Linked DNA regions of Drosophila melanogaster. The protein of the gene in region 2 interacts with the protein of the main gene of each other region in a pairwise test. Each region holds a gene or a part of one and is shown on either strand. Other genes may lie near its edges.

Evidence for each region. The genes of interacting proteins can lie anywhere in the genome.
Region 1: the proteins of CG10433 (region 2) and opa interact in a two-hybrid assay, tested with the Drosophila melanogaster proteins (one large-scale study listed by BioGRID).
Region 3: the proteins of CG10433 (region 2) and CG12470 interact in a two-hybrid assay, tested with the Drosophila melanogaster proteins (one large-scale study listed by BioGRID).

What each region holds. Positions count from the first base shown.
Region 1 is NT_033777.3:4,851,120-4,855,830, reverse strand, and holds the start of opa (odd paired), read right to left. Parts: upstream 3,019-4,711; 5' UTR 2,726-3,018; coding exon 1,777-2,725; intron 1-1,776. UniProt on the Drosophila melanogaster protein: Transcription factor essential for parasegmental subdivision of the embryo. It is involved in the activation of wingless (wg) in odd parasegments.
Region 2 is NT_033778.4:21,605,120-21,610,069, forward strand, and holds CG10433 (uncharacterized protein), read right to left. Parts: upstream 3,007-4,950; 5' UTR 2,392-3,006; intron 2,224-2,391; 5' UTR 1,674-2,223; coding exon 1,562-1,673; intron 1,499-1,561; coding exon 1,349-1,498; intron 1,242-1,348; coding exon of another isoform or gene 1,207-1,241; exon of another isoform or gene 1,075-1,206; coding exon 953-1,074; 3' UTR 557-952; downstream 1-556. Other genes in the region: CG15673 (uncharacterized protein), read right to left, coding at 3,535-3,947, 4,660-4,839.
Region 3 is NC_004354.4:305,790-309,453, reverse strand, and holds CG12470 (uncharacterized protein), read right to left. Parts: upstream 1,771-3,664; 5' UTR 1,562-1,770; intron 1,365-1,561; 5' UTR 1,247-1,364; coding exon 659-1,246; 3' UTR 519-658; downstream 1-518.

The sequences.
Region 1 (4,711 bases), on a different chromosome or scaffold from region 2:
ATCCGTAATGAAGTTGTGCGCCGGCCACTTGAAAGCTAATCAATATGTTGGCTATCTCCGACAATGTGTAGCCAGGTCAACCAATCATAGGCACACACAAATCAGTCAGAGGTCCTAAAATGCACTTTTCTGCTGCATCACGGCGGAGAAAAGAAATATGAAATTAGTCAAAAATATCATCATACAGCAACCAACTCATTATAATGCCACATGATTGTTCCAAAATCGAACACAATATGGCGGCGTCTCGAAATCAAATCGAAACATTTTAATTACCTTTCGATGAGTGTGCAAAAGAAAATACTGTTGTCCGAACAGATTTACAGAAATAGCTTTTTTGTGTGGCTAATTCTGTGATTTATGAATTTCTTTGTGAGTTTATAATCGCGGTAACTACAAGATGAAGCTATAATGAAGCCCGACGTCTTATTTTAATTCAATTTGGAATCATGAGGCCAAATTACAAAATAATAGAAATAAAGAGGCAACAACAAATGCCAAAAGCCAACATTAAAACAACAAAATATAAGCATGCTGGATATTGCGGAATATTGCTGGCCATATTTTCATTCTTCTCCTCCAATTTCCAAGTTAATTACGCCAAGGCTGAGGTCAATCAAGGATAATCCAGGACCAAGCGATATTTGCTGGAAAGTTTATTAACCTGATTGGCGCTCTTTTCACCAATTATGCGAAACTTTGTTTTGTGTTTTCGCATTTCATGTTTGCTTTCCCAACTTCCACTTGTTAATTGATTTTAATGGCTGTGTTTCGCCGCTTCTAATGAGCCCTACATGCTCAGCCATAAATTTCAATGGAACAAGTTCAACAGCCACTGGAATCAAAGTCATTAATTTGCGTTAAGCTCCGTTTCTGGCTTTATAGTTCGACTTCTCATAGATCACGACTATACCGCATAAATTGTATTTTAAAGCCTCCAACTATGGCTATGTTTTTTCAAAAGTGTTCAGGCTATGAGCTGCAAAGCGATTTTAATTTATTTTTGAAAGACAATTGAAAGAGAAATGCTTGAAATGGGCATGATTAATGATGGATTTAAGAAAAATTAATTATATTGAGAATTTGCATAGAGCGGTTGGCTATCAAAGTAATAGTAAGCCATTATTATTAAATAATACAAAATCTGAAGCCGACAACAAGGCTTAAAGTATAAAAAACAAAGGAGTAGCTAAACTAAATTTTTCAGTTCCTTTACAAATTTGACCAAGTTTCCAAACGTAGTTAAATACATGCCAGTCAAAATCCAAAGTCAAGAGAAGTCGCAGGCTTAGGGAAATACTAAGACCAAAAGTCGAAGTCAACCTAAAGCCGTAGAGTAATCCTAGCCGTAAGGACAACATCTTTGCGGGATTTTCTGGGCGCGGAAGAGCTTTGGGCGCAGGTTTTACAGGTGTCATAAAAGATGACCCGCCCGGCCAGTGGCGGGTTAAGCCAGGTAGTGGGCGTTGCAACGACTTTTGCCGTCGGTAACACGCTCACATCGACAACGTCCGGGATTTGCCCAGGCGGGCAAGGGTTATGCCCACGCAAGGTGAATTCTAAGAGATTGCAGACCTAGCATGTGCTATTCTAAATATAAGCGGTTAAAATCTGCATAAGGCTTCGACTTTCTATTAGTATTAAGATCTTTATAAAACAGGAATAATTACACACAGAATTTGACTGCCAAACCAAAACTAAATAAAAGTATTTTCTTAGTTTAATGAATGGTTTAATATGGTTTAAATATAAAGCGGAATGCACCGCCACACTTACCTGTATGCGTCCGCTTGTGGATCTTGAGGTTCTCGCTCCGGGCGAAGACCTTGCCGCAACCCGGGTGCGGGCAGGCGAAAGGTTTCTCGCCGGTGTGGACGCGGATGTGGTTGACCAGCTTGTACTTGGCCTTGAAAGGGCGTCCGTTGCGAGAGCAGCCCACCCAGAAGCAGGCGTGGGTGGTGCACTCGGGTCCGCCCACGTGCTCCACGGTCAGGTGGGTGACGATCTCGTGCATCGAGTGGAATACCTTGTTGCAGGTCTTCCTGCCGCCCGGGGGCACCAGGCCCGGCTGGTCGGGGTCTATCCAGAGGCACTGCATCTCCTGCTTAACGCTGGAGGCGGACGAGGCCGGCTGATGGCGCATGTAGCGCAGGAAGGCCCCTGCTCCGGCCGGGTGCATCGCGGACATGGCGTGGTGGGACGGGTGGTGCACGACCGGGTGGTGCACTGCCGCCGTCGGGAAGTTGCCGTGGTGGTTGTACGGGTGGCCGGCGGCGTAGGCATCCGCCATGCCCATTCGCATCTGATGGTGGTGATGGTGGCTGTGGAAGGGGTGTTGTCCGAACCCGGAGCCCAGCTCCGCGGCCTGAGCGGGAAAGCCGGAGAAGAGCATGGAATCCGCTGCGGCGGAGGCCTGTCCGGCGGATCCTGCCACACCGTACTCGGCCTCCCTCCTGCCCAGCAAAAAGTCCCGGGAGGCATAGCTGTTAAAGTGCCCATATCCGGAGTTCTGATAGGCTGCAGCAGTGGCCGCCGCGGATTCCTGATCCTGTTGCTGTTGCTGCTGCTGTTGTTGCTGTTGTTGCTGCTGCTGTTGGGTCATCTCCAGTTGCTGCTGCTGTTGCTGCTGCGCGTTGCTGTTACTGGCGGTGGTGTTGGGCGACATTCGCAGCCCGTAGCTGGCCAGGTGGTGCTGAGCCGGCTCAATGAAGGCGTTCATCATCATGGTTACAGTGTTATTGCTCGCTTATATGTTTTTAAAATTAATTCAGAAAGAACTGAACTACAAGTTTTCGATTCGCACTTTGCTAGGCCAATGAGCCCATCACGCACTGAGGTCACCTCACTTAGCTGTATATACTGTGCGCTTATTTCGCTCTTAGATATTTCGCATGCGACTTGATACTTATTTACGTAATGCACTCGCGCGCGATGCGTTTCTGGGGCGTTCGAATCGCAGCAAGACTTGACGCTAACCGAATGCCAAGACTTGACGTTTCAAGATGCGCAGCAGGACTGAAATGCTCCTGAAATTCTAACTCGCTGCTGTGTTGCCTCGTGAAAATATCTGCCGACGATCGCATGCGTGCGAATGGGATCGACCTATGCACGACGTAAAATGAATAGAGGGTAACGAAAGCGCGAGTGCGAGCAGGCCAGGCGTATGACCTGCCTGTGGTGAGTTGCGCTTGCCATGGTGTATTCGGCACAAGCCACCACTCTGTCGGATAGGCCTGAGCCATGGGTGCGAGTGCGACAACTCTAAGAAAATGGCCGCCTCCTCGCATGCTCCAGAGTCGGACAGAAGAGCACAGAGGCTGCGCACTCAGTCCAATTGGAACCCACCCGACCATAGCGCCCTCTCGCTCGGCAAACTGGTTTCGCGAAAATTAACACCCACTGCGGTTGGCCATTGGGTGGTGGGCCGACAGCGTGCGGCGTGCGCCTGTGCAGGGGGCCCAAATGCTGATTGGACCGACGGGCAGCCAATTGAAAGCTCGCGGGGATGCATTTTCCAGCCCGCTCCTCATTGTCACGGCGGACGAATAGCCCGCCACTTCGGGTAGCCCAGCTGTCAGCTTATCAAATTAGTTGTTTATTTTATTGATTTTAATGATATTAAGCACATTCCGTGCTCGGACATCGGAGATTTCCAGCCGTTTTGTTTAGGTTGCGCCATAAAGACGTACGAGATTTCATTAGCGCCAAACGCTCTGTTTTTCATTTGCTAATTTATGGAATTTTCAATAAGCAGTAGTCGAATCAATACATAATCTTGTATCAATCGACTTGATTGGATTCTGCTGAGTGTTAAGTGCCCCGGCAAAGTGGCTTTTGGGGCAGACTGTGAAGTGATACTTCGCCTGCATAGGGCAAAAATGTATAAATTTATTTTCATACAAAACATTTGCTTTGTGATAATATGGTATAACACTATGCTGTATGTATATAGTCAGACGCTCTTCTCAAAATATATGATTTTTTCTATTTACAATCCAAAAACTGAGCGATGCAAAAGGAAGGTCGTTAACATCAAAATTGTCTTCGTTTAGTATTCGTGTTTTGAACTAGTCCTCATCTGTAGATAATTTAAGGTTGATATGTAATTGCTGGCAGAGTATTAAAAATTGCTTAAGCTTTTAAAACGATAATAATTAAAATCAAATTGAATTTGGATATATATTGAGTAATCAAATTTTTATTCAAAAACAGTATTTTCTAATCAAATATATTGCCCTGAATTTATCGTTTGAGAAAACAATATTTCCTGGTAAAGTTTAAATGAGAATGAGAGCAAGAAAAGACCATGTGATTCCATGCTAATTACCTTGATTTCCGCAATGAATTAATTGGGGCAAATTGTGACATAAAGCGTCACCGCCAAGCGGTTCGGCTATTAAATTGTCAAAACAACTCAGCGGCAATCAGCAATCAGCGGACGGCAATCGACAGTCCATAGTCGTCCGAATGTCATACCGACCCCAATGCCATTTTGGGAGACGGGCAAGACCATAAAGCAGCGGAAAGTGCACCGAGCTGGCAGGCACCCAGTCCCGCAGAGCTCCAGCGACAAGTGTCACTCGAAATGAAGCCATTGCTCCATATCGATGATGGAGGATGAGGACGAAGCCGCCGGGTTGGAGCAGATGATGGGCTGCAAACGGAGCAGTCGGCTGAAGTGGATTTCTAGCGCACTGCCATAGAACTACTC
Region 2 (4,950 bases):
AACTATAAATAACCGGGTGGAATAAGCGTCCAAACATTAGCAATGAAATCATGCAAACCGAAAGATACAGATACAAACAGATATCGGGTAGTACAGAAAAGCAAGGCATGCGCGGCACATGGATGTGGATGGTATATGTTCGCGATGCGTGGCAAGGTCGTTTCGTTTATTTCGGTTGAGAACTGTTTGGAAAATATTCCAAACTGTATTTATAGAAGGCGGTCCAAGGATCGAACTGATTTTCGTGTTTTGAACTTGACATTGAATGTTGGCGGAGCGATAAGCTGTTGTTTTCAATTGCCATCTTCATCTTGTGATTCACACTGGCCCATCATCTCTGGAATTAGTTTGTCGATGATGCGGCTATTATTGTTTTCATTCCCAATCCCGATTCGGGGCACTTCGATCACCCAACTGTACTTGGGGCACGTGACGGCCGAGCTCCGCCAGATGATAAGGGTTTCAGAACTGGGGGCCGTCAGCTGATCATACCCGTATGCATATACTTACATAATCCTCAGATACGTGACCGTTCGAGTGAGTAGAGATTTGTTTTGGAAAATATTTACAATGCATTTATTGGAAGCAGTCAAATATTTCACATTGTGGGTAGATTTGGGGCTCTTAAGATGTCATACAAAATTATTCGTACAATATAATTAATATACATATAGTTAAATAAATACATGTTTATGTACGGTGTGTGTGTGTGTGTATGTGTACAGAGGAATGACACAACCAAATTAGTTTCAATCCGCTCAGCACTCAATTTTGTCAAATCAATTTAATGTTAGTGTTGTCTAATATTTTTCGAATATTCTAGAAGTCTCGAATATAAACTTTAGGTATTCAAGAATTGTCACTCTGACTTGCCCAACTTGGAGGCTATTTTGTTATCATTTGACGATGCTGTTCCTCTGCACGGGTATGTGTATGGTGTGGTTAAGTATAACTAAATCAGGACGCAGCAGACTTGGCCATTCTTGCAATCCGAACCGGGTCGCAGGAGCCTCTGGTGGCATCGGTCCATGCACTGTCCCAGGTGTTCCGCACAGGGCGCTGGTCTGACCGGCACTGCAACGGCAATGGGATGACGTTTGACGTTTTCGAGGGCGATGGGACACACAGAATGGATCGGGTTGTCAAGGGTTAGTGGCGATATTCGGGTAATTCGGTAACGATGCCAATTTGATTGTGGTTAGATTTTTAGCGATGCGAAGCAGGTGTTGGGTTTGATCGGACTGATGGGGTTTTTTAGGATTTTTGGGGATATTTTGGGGATTGTTTGGGGTTTTTGCAGGTTTTAAGCAGGATGGTACACACAGCAGAGAGCCAGCAATCTACTCACGTTCGTAGCAGCACTCCACGCCCTCTCCGGCACTCGTGGGACACAATCCCTTGTTCGAGGTGGGTTCGATGCAGTCCGACTCCGCGACACACAGTCCTCCGACCATGACGCACTGTCGGTCATTGGGATACACACGCACACCCTGCAGCACTGCGATTTGAATGGGTTAAGTGGTAGTTCGCTATGGCCGCCTGATCCACATCGCACACTTACTGTAGTAACTGGGGTCATTCACATCGTTTGTCTCGATGTTGGCCTGAGCCTGGTGCAGCACTAGGATGCTGCTCACCAGCAGGCAGCACAGCAAGCTCCTTCTCGGCGACATATTCGGCTATTTGGGGATATTCGGCTGTACTACCGGGCGTATGCGTGATACGTTTTGAATTTCGTTCTGATTCGCTCTGCTTTCAATGCACTTCACTCTGGCAGCTTGGCAGCAGCAGTAATCCACTTCCTCTCGATGGCGCGGTTTGCGTTGAACTGATCCCAGCTAATTACGCCACAGAGGCTTTTCAACGAAAAATTACTTTGCCGACGGAGACGGGAGAGCAACAGCGCGAGAGGGAGAAAGAGCGAGCGTTTTTGCACAACTAGACGCGGAGAAAGAGAAAGAGACGGAGCGAGCGGAAGATTGGGACGTAGAGTGTGAAAGGGCGGGGGCGACGGGAGGAAGTCGAGGAAGTGCCGTTCAATTGAAGACCGTGAGAGAGTTTAGAAAATTGACCAACTCCGATCGGCTTCGGCTTCATCCGCTTCAATCAGCAACGCTCTTGAGTGCACACGGAGAAAACCAGAGCGCGTTGTTACGATTATTGTTGTTATTAGCTTGTACTTATCAGTGGTTAATATTTAACATCTATAAACGCGTTTCTACACTGGAAAAAAAATAGTAATGTAAAGATTATTCGTTTTACAGCAGCGGTGATATGCATATGAAACAGAATGCATAATGATGATTTAGTATAGAGAGCTCTTCTGTTATGACTAGCACCGTTGACCCTTTTATCGAATGCTTTTTACCATTAGCTTTTAAAGATAGTTACAGCTTTGAAATTTCTCGCGGTGCACTGGAGATCGCCCAATGAATGGACCCACAATCAAGCGCTCAACTCGGGCGACCAATCAACGGGGCAATCAACGACCATCGGCGCGGAGCAGGCGAAAGAACAAGAACCGCATTGAGCGGGGCGTAACGTGATTTTACTGCAATCCGATCTGGTTTGGCACAAACATCTAGCTATCATCTTGCTCTGCCAGCGCTCAGTTCTTGTCGGCGGTGTTTGTGTAATTTTCGAAAACAATTTGTGTGAAATATGTGCGTGGAAAGTAAACAAACGCCGAAGAATCGAAATATTACGCATACGCGGTGTGCTGGCTGTGCCCCAGAAACAACAACAGGTCTGTTTTGGGCCAGATGTTACCTTCGCTCGATCTAAACAACGGCGGCTGGAAAGAAATTGAAATTCACTGGAATCGATCAATGAATGAACCGAACGCCTGACCCTGAGCATCCAAATGGCAATGGGAGGGGGAAGTGCCTTATTTATGTTTGCTTAACTTGCCCCATTATTTGGCCAGCGCAGTGTTCAAACAAACAGTGTTTTCTCTTGGATAAACGCACGGCGAGCACTTCAACTCCAGATCACCTGATACTGAATGAAGGGGGTTCAGTTTCAGGCCTTGTCAATCCCAATCCGTTCGCATCAAGTGTAAGTTAACATCAGAACGAAAAAGCTTCCCCCGAACGCTTATCAGTACTCAGTTTTGAATTCGTTTCCGCAGAAAGCTTTCACCCGAGCGAAACTAAATGGTTTTGGTCTACGGAATCTGTTTGCTCGAAAGCTTTTGCCAAGCAAGTTGCCAGATAACTTGCCCCCAACTTTGAATATTCCCCATAAGCCCCTGATTAACTGGAAAGCCGAGTTCTTGGTAAACATTTAGCAAACATCCCGTTGGATGAATCATTTACGATATGGCTATGATTTATTAAAGTTAATTACTTAATCATCTAGTTTCAGTTGAACTGGCATTTGAATGCATATGCGCACACAGATATCTTTCATTGTCAGTCTTTTTGTGGGGATCTTACGACATCTAATACTTGGCCCTTTGCCATAAACAGCAAATATCACAGAGTCGGAATAGTAAGGCCGGATCCAGGGATCCACCGTCGGCTTATCGGTTGCTTAGTCAGCGGACTTCTGCAGTTCATTGACGATGATCACATCGCAGGTGACTGCGGCTGGCAATGGGTTGGAAGTTGGGGGCGGCGTACCCGACGGTGGTGCACCCAATTCACCGGCCTTGTTGCTGAACGGTATCACAAACACGCTCGTCTTGGCCGCGTGCTGCATCTTGATCACCGTATCGTAGCTGGGAGGCGCAAATTCGCTGTAGGATGGCGAGGGCGTGGGTGGTGCCCTCAGACCCTCGGTGGATTGACCTCCGGCGGGACGACGCCTCATGTCGCGGCATCTGCGATCCGAACAGGCCATCAGCATGAAGAAGGCGGCCAGGGCCAGGAAAGTGGCCACATACCACACAATCGTGATCACATCCATTGCCGTCTGGGACAGATCGTTGGGCGACTCGACGACAGCTGAAAGTGTTAGGTATTAATTAGTTTTGATCGTGACTACTATAGGGCTTATATCGCAGCCAAAGCATAGACAAATCTCCCCAGTCTAATTGAAATATAAGGTCCAGACTCTATATGGAAATAACTAGAATTGCTAGAATTTCATCCCAGCAGCAAGTTATCAGTTGGTGCTGTTGTGCTTCTAGTCACGAATTGTGGGTCTGTGCTATAAACTTTATGACGAAACTGCTCGACTGCAATACTTGCGCGTCATCGAACTACGCTAATGGCTTAAATGAGCCCCATTGATAGGGGCTAACCCTAGTGGCGGGTATATAGTAATTAGACGGGAATCGTTGTTGATTGCCGGTTTCAAGGGTCCACTGAAATTAAGATATTACCGGTGGGCGAGCGTTACAAGGGTTACAAATGTTTATGGCAGTTGAAATGGCCTGTTCAATCGATCTCGTTTATTTTCACTTTGTATGGTACTCAAGTCAATTCTACTACCAAAGTAATCAGTGACGTTTTGTAGCAAATCTTATCGATATAAATCAATTTAATTTATTCTTTAACATTAATAAGACTCTAAAAATAAGTGGCTGAGTGGCTGACAGCCTAAGTGAAATAGAAATGATTGAACGATTTACTCAAAGTATCTTTTTCTATCTAGCACAAAAATCTTAGTCTGATGCCTCATGCACATTTAGTATTGCATCCTTCAGATACTCACTGTTCTTGTAGACAATAATCCGCGTGTTGTTTGAGATGGTGTCGGGAAACAATTCCACCTCGGTGGTTCCGTTGGCGTTTGTCAAGTTGTAGGGCAGTGGGCGGGCGGACTCGTGGAGAACGTTCTCCACGCTGAAGAGATAGGACTGGCCGTCTACGCAGCACGAGCTGGCGATGATTACTGAAAGGAAACAAAACGGCCACGCCGAACCAAACCAAACCGCACCGAAACGAATCGAATCGAATTGAATCGGAATGAGGCGGAAGGGAGGGGAACGGAGCGAAGCAGACA
Region 3 (3,664 bases), on a different chromosome or scaffold from region 2:
TTTATTGCAAATGCTTTGCGGTTTTCGCAATCCATGGGCCTCCAAAAATTGACCCCTTACTTGGAAGGTTCACCTTGTTTCTATTGGGTTTCTTCTTTTTTCATTTTGTAGCAAGCAATAATAATTTGAGGGATTTGTTGTGCACGTTAAGCTGGAATCCTCCGCTTCATTCTTTTGAGCCGAATATTAGCAAAATGATGCACATGCATAATTTCCATACCACTCAAATGAATGGAATTAATCGAACGCTAATCGACTTGGAATCTGTACTCTAATTGACAAAATTCTCACACCCTGTAAGTCTCTAATTTTTGATATTATATTTACGATTTGTATTTTATCCACAGTAATATTGCAATAATTTATGTCGACTATTGTTATTTAACTTCTTTTGATCGTACGCTAACCTCAACTTTCCCAGCAAAACTCTACAAAAGGATTAACTTCGACATGCAAAATAAACGCTTTGGTATATCGCTATCACCGCTATTGGTATTAGAGCTATGCAAATTTGTTTTAGTTGCTTTCAAAGAGATTATTATTTATTGATAAAGATTGTGCCAAAATATGTTAAATGTTTAGAGCAAAGCTTGTCGTCCAGTATTATCCTCGTTGTGTATGCGTTGCCCTCTTTTGTTAGAAATCATATGGGACCTATTTAAGCGAATCGCATGCATTTTGCCTTTTGGGTGTACGTTACAGCGCCATACTCCTCCACAATCTGATCAATGGCAATCTTGTTTAGATTCTCCAGATATAGACGCGTCTTTCGAGACTGGATAATATAACTAATAACGTCGTGCATATTATCGAAGAAAAGAAATCCAGCAGTTCCGCAGCTGAGGTCTAGATAGCGGAACCTATTAACATCGCAGGTGCATCCATCAAACAGGAAGTAAATAAAGTCATTATTGTTGTGATACCGGAAAACCACGTAGTTGCCCCAAGGGGCCATCACGAAAACCCGCTCGGCACACCGGAATCCGGCTCTCAGGAGCTTGCAAATGCTATCGTAGCATCCATTCTCAGAGCCCACCACCGCCATTGTTTCCGGAATACGAAGAAGAGCCGGGTAATGATTCGGTTGAGCCCGAAGGACATCGTGGGGTCCGCTAGACTCTGGACAAGCGTCAAGTGGTTGCATCTGCTTTGGTGGTTCCGGACACGGAGGACATGGTGGCGCTTCGATGGGAGCCACAACTGCGGCGGGCTTCTTGCCCTTCTTTCCTTTGCCCTTTTTACCCATGGTTAATCGAGTCTACGATCTCTGAAAGTCGCGCAACGCACAAATTAGAAATGCCTCTGCGTTTGCTTCCGATCACTTGAAAATAGTTAACGAATCAAAGTAGCATATATCCTGACGTCTGAAATACGCATTTAAAAAAAAAAAATATTAATTCTTAAGTTAACCCCAACCAAATACTCAGTAAACACTGTCCCACACATATAGAATTACGACTTCCAATTGTGTGCGTATGTCATGTGAAACCAAATGCAATTCGGAAATGGGGAAAAAATTTCAGTAATATTCGGAATATGCCGAGCTTCCAATAAGACTCACCAACTAGCTAAACACGATTTGATTTTGGTACACACACCGTTCTCTTGTATTCCTAATTTTAAGTTTGGCCAAAAAAAAAATTTTGTAAATCTGGTCGAGAGCGAAGTTAAATTTTGTACAGTTTTTTTTCCGAGATTTTTTCGTGTGCTTTGTGTGTTCACAGACAATTTTACTTCTGATGTTTTGCCATATGGCTGGTGATAGCCAAGTCCAAATACTGACAGTTTCAGCAAAGCAACGTGATCTAAAAAAAAGTAAGAAAGCCATTCTATTTAATAAACCAACCCAGAGTAGGCTACGTTTGGTGCTCGTAAACAGCTTAATGCATATATAATTGCCAGTTCTTATTTTATTCAATTATCGTTGTATCACAACTTAAGGGACAACTAAATCTACTACTTTCCTTTATCTGCTGGAAGAAGAAAAATATGGAAATATTAAAAAAAATATCTGATACGATAAAAGTACCATTGAAATACGAAAAACGCGTATTTATTAATTAAACATTATCTAAGCTTCAAATGATGGCCTTTTATGAATGGACCAGTGGAATAAATCTCAGGTTTTTGGCTAAATGATGATGACACCACCATTATAATCGCAACCATACTAACCTAATGGGTTACATTTTATGGCTCACAGCGGTATCAAACGAATACGAATCCAAAAGAAAACACTCCTTCGATTATTGCTTCATCAAAAAGAAATTCTCAGCTAATGGGGTAACCCAACCTGTCATGCCGGCAAACGTGAGTCGGCAGGTTTAGGATACCCATATGGAGGAAGATATCGCTCTCTCCCACTCTCTATATACAAATGTGTGCAATCTTCAATGGTATTATTTAATCAGTTGCTTTAATGTGGGATGATTAGATAAGTACTAGAAATAAGATTCATTTACCGCATAAGTACTTTAACCTACATACAGTTTAACCTTTATACAGTTCAAATTATACTTCTTATACCCGTTACTTGCAGACTAAAAGAGTATACTAGATTCGTTGAAAATGTATGTAACAAGTAGAAAGAAGCGTTTCCGACCATATAAAGTTTATATATTCTTGATCAGTATCAATAGCCCAGTCGATCTGGCACTGTCCGTCTGTCCGGCCGTATAACGTCGACATCTCAGGAATTATAAAAGCTGGAAGGTTTATATTAAGCATACATATTCTAGAGACAGAACCAGCGCAAGTTTGTTGAAATATTACCACGCCCACTCTAAGGCCCCCAAACCCCCCAAAACTGCCACGCCGACACATTTGAAAATTTAATTTTGTAAATCTATCGATATGTTATCTACATATATCCAACTCCAACGCACTTCCTCTAGCGGAGTAGTAACACGTATCTGTAAGCCGACAAGATCGACTGAATCGTTTTCTCCTTGTAAATTCACATGGATATGTTGCCTTATACAGATGTCCAAGTCCTTCTTAAAAAAAAAAACGGCATGTTAAAAACGTAAAAAAGTACATGCTCATAAAATTGAGCTTTTTATCATAAAATAAAGATTTTTAGCTTTAAGCCGCGAAAGCTTAGTTTGGAGTACTTAAGCTTTAAGGTGCTGAATAAGTTTGCAGAGGAGAAATTGCGCATAATTTATCTCAGAGAGCGGAGTTATTTAGCACCTCTCCGGTAGCCTTCCCTTTCTTTTTTTATGACTGAAATTAATCTTCATTCACTGCAGGAATATAACAAATGGTTTGCTGATTGTTTACACATGGGCTATCCTGCAGTTGTATCGGTCAAAATAAAATACAGCAATAAAATAGAGCAATCGAAATTTTGATAACTGTGGTACCAAAGTGCAACAACCTAAAAGTCGACGCCAACGAGTCTAGGGCAAACAAAAAATAAGAACAAGGTCCAAGGCATTGGGTCAAAAGCCAAGTAAAAAAAACAAATAGAAGGAAGGGAGAACGTTATATACAAGAAACTCGACTATCCAATACCCATTATGATAACATAAATCAATAAATAAAATTCAGAATTATGTTTTATAAGTATGGGCAAATTAGGGCGGTGCAAAATTTGTTTGGCTAGAAATTGAATTGGATAGAAATTGACAATACAAAAAACTAAATTAAATTAAAAAACTGC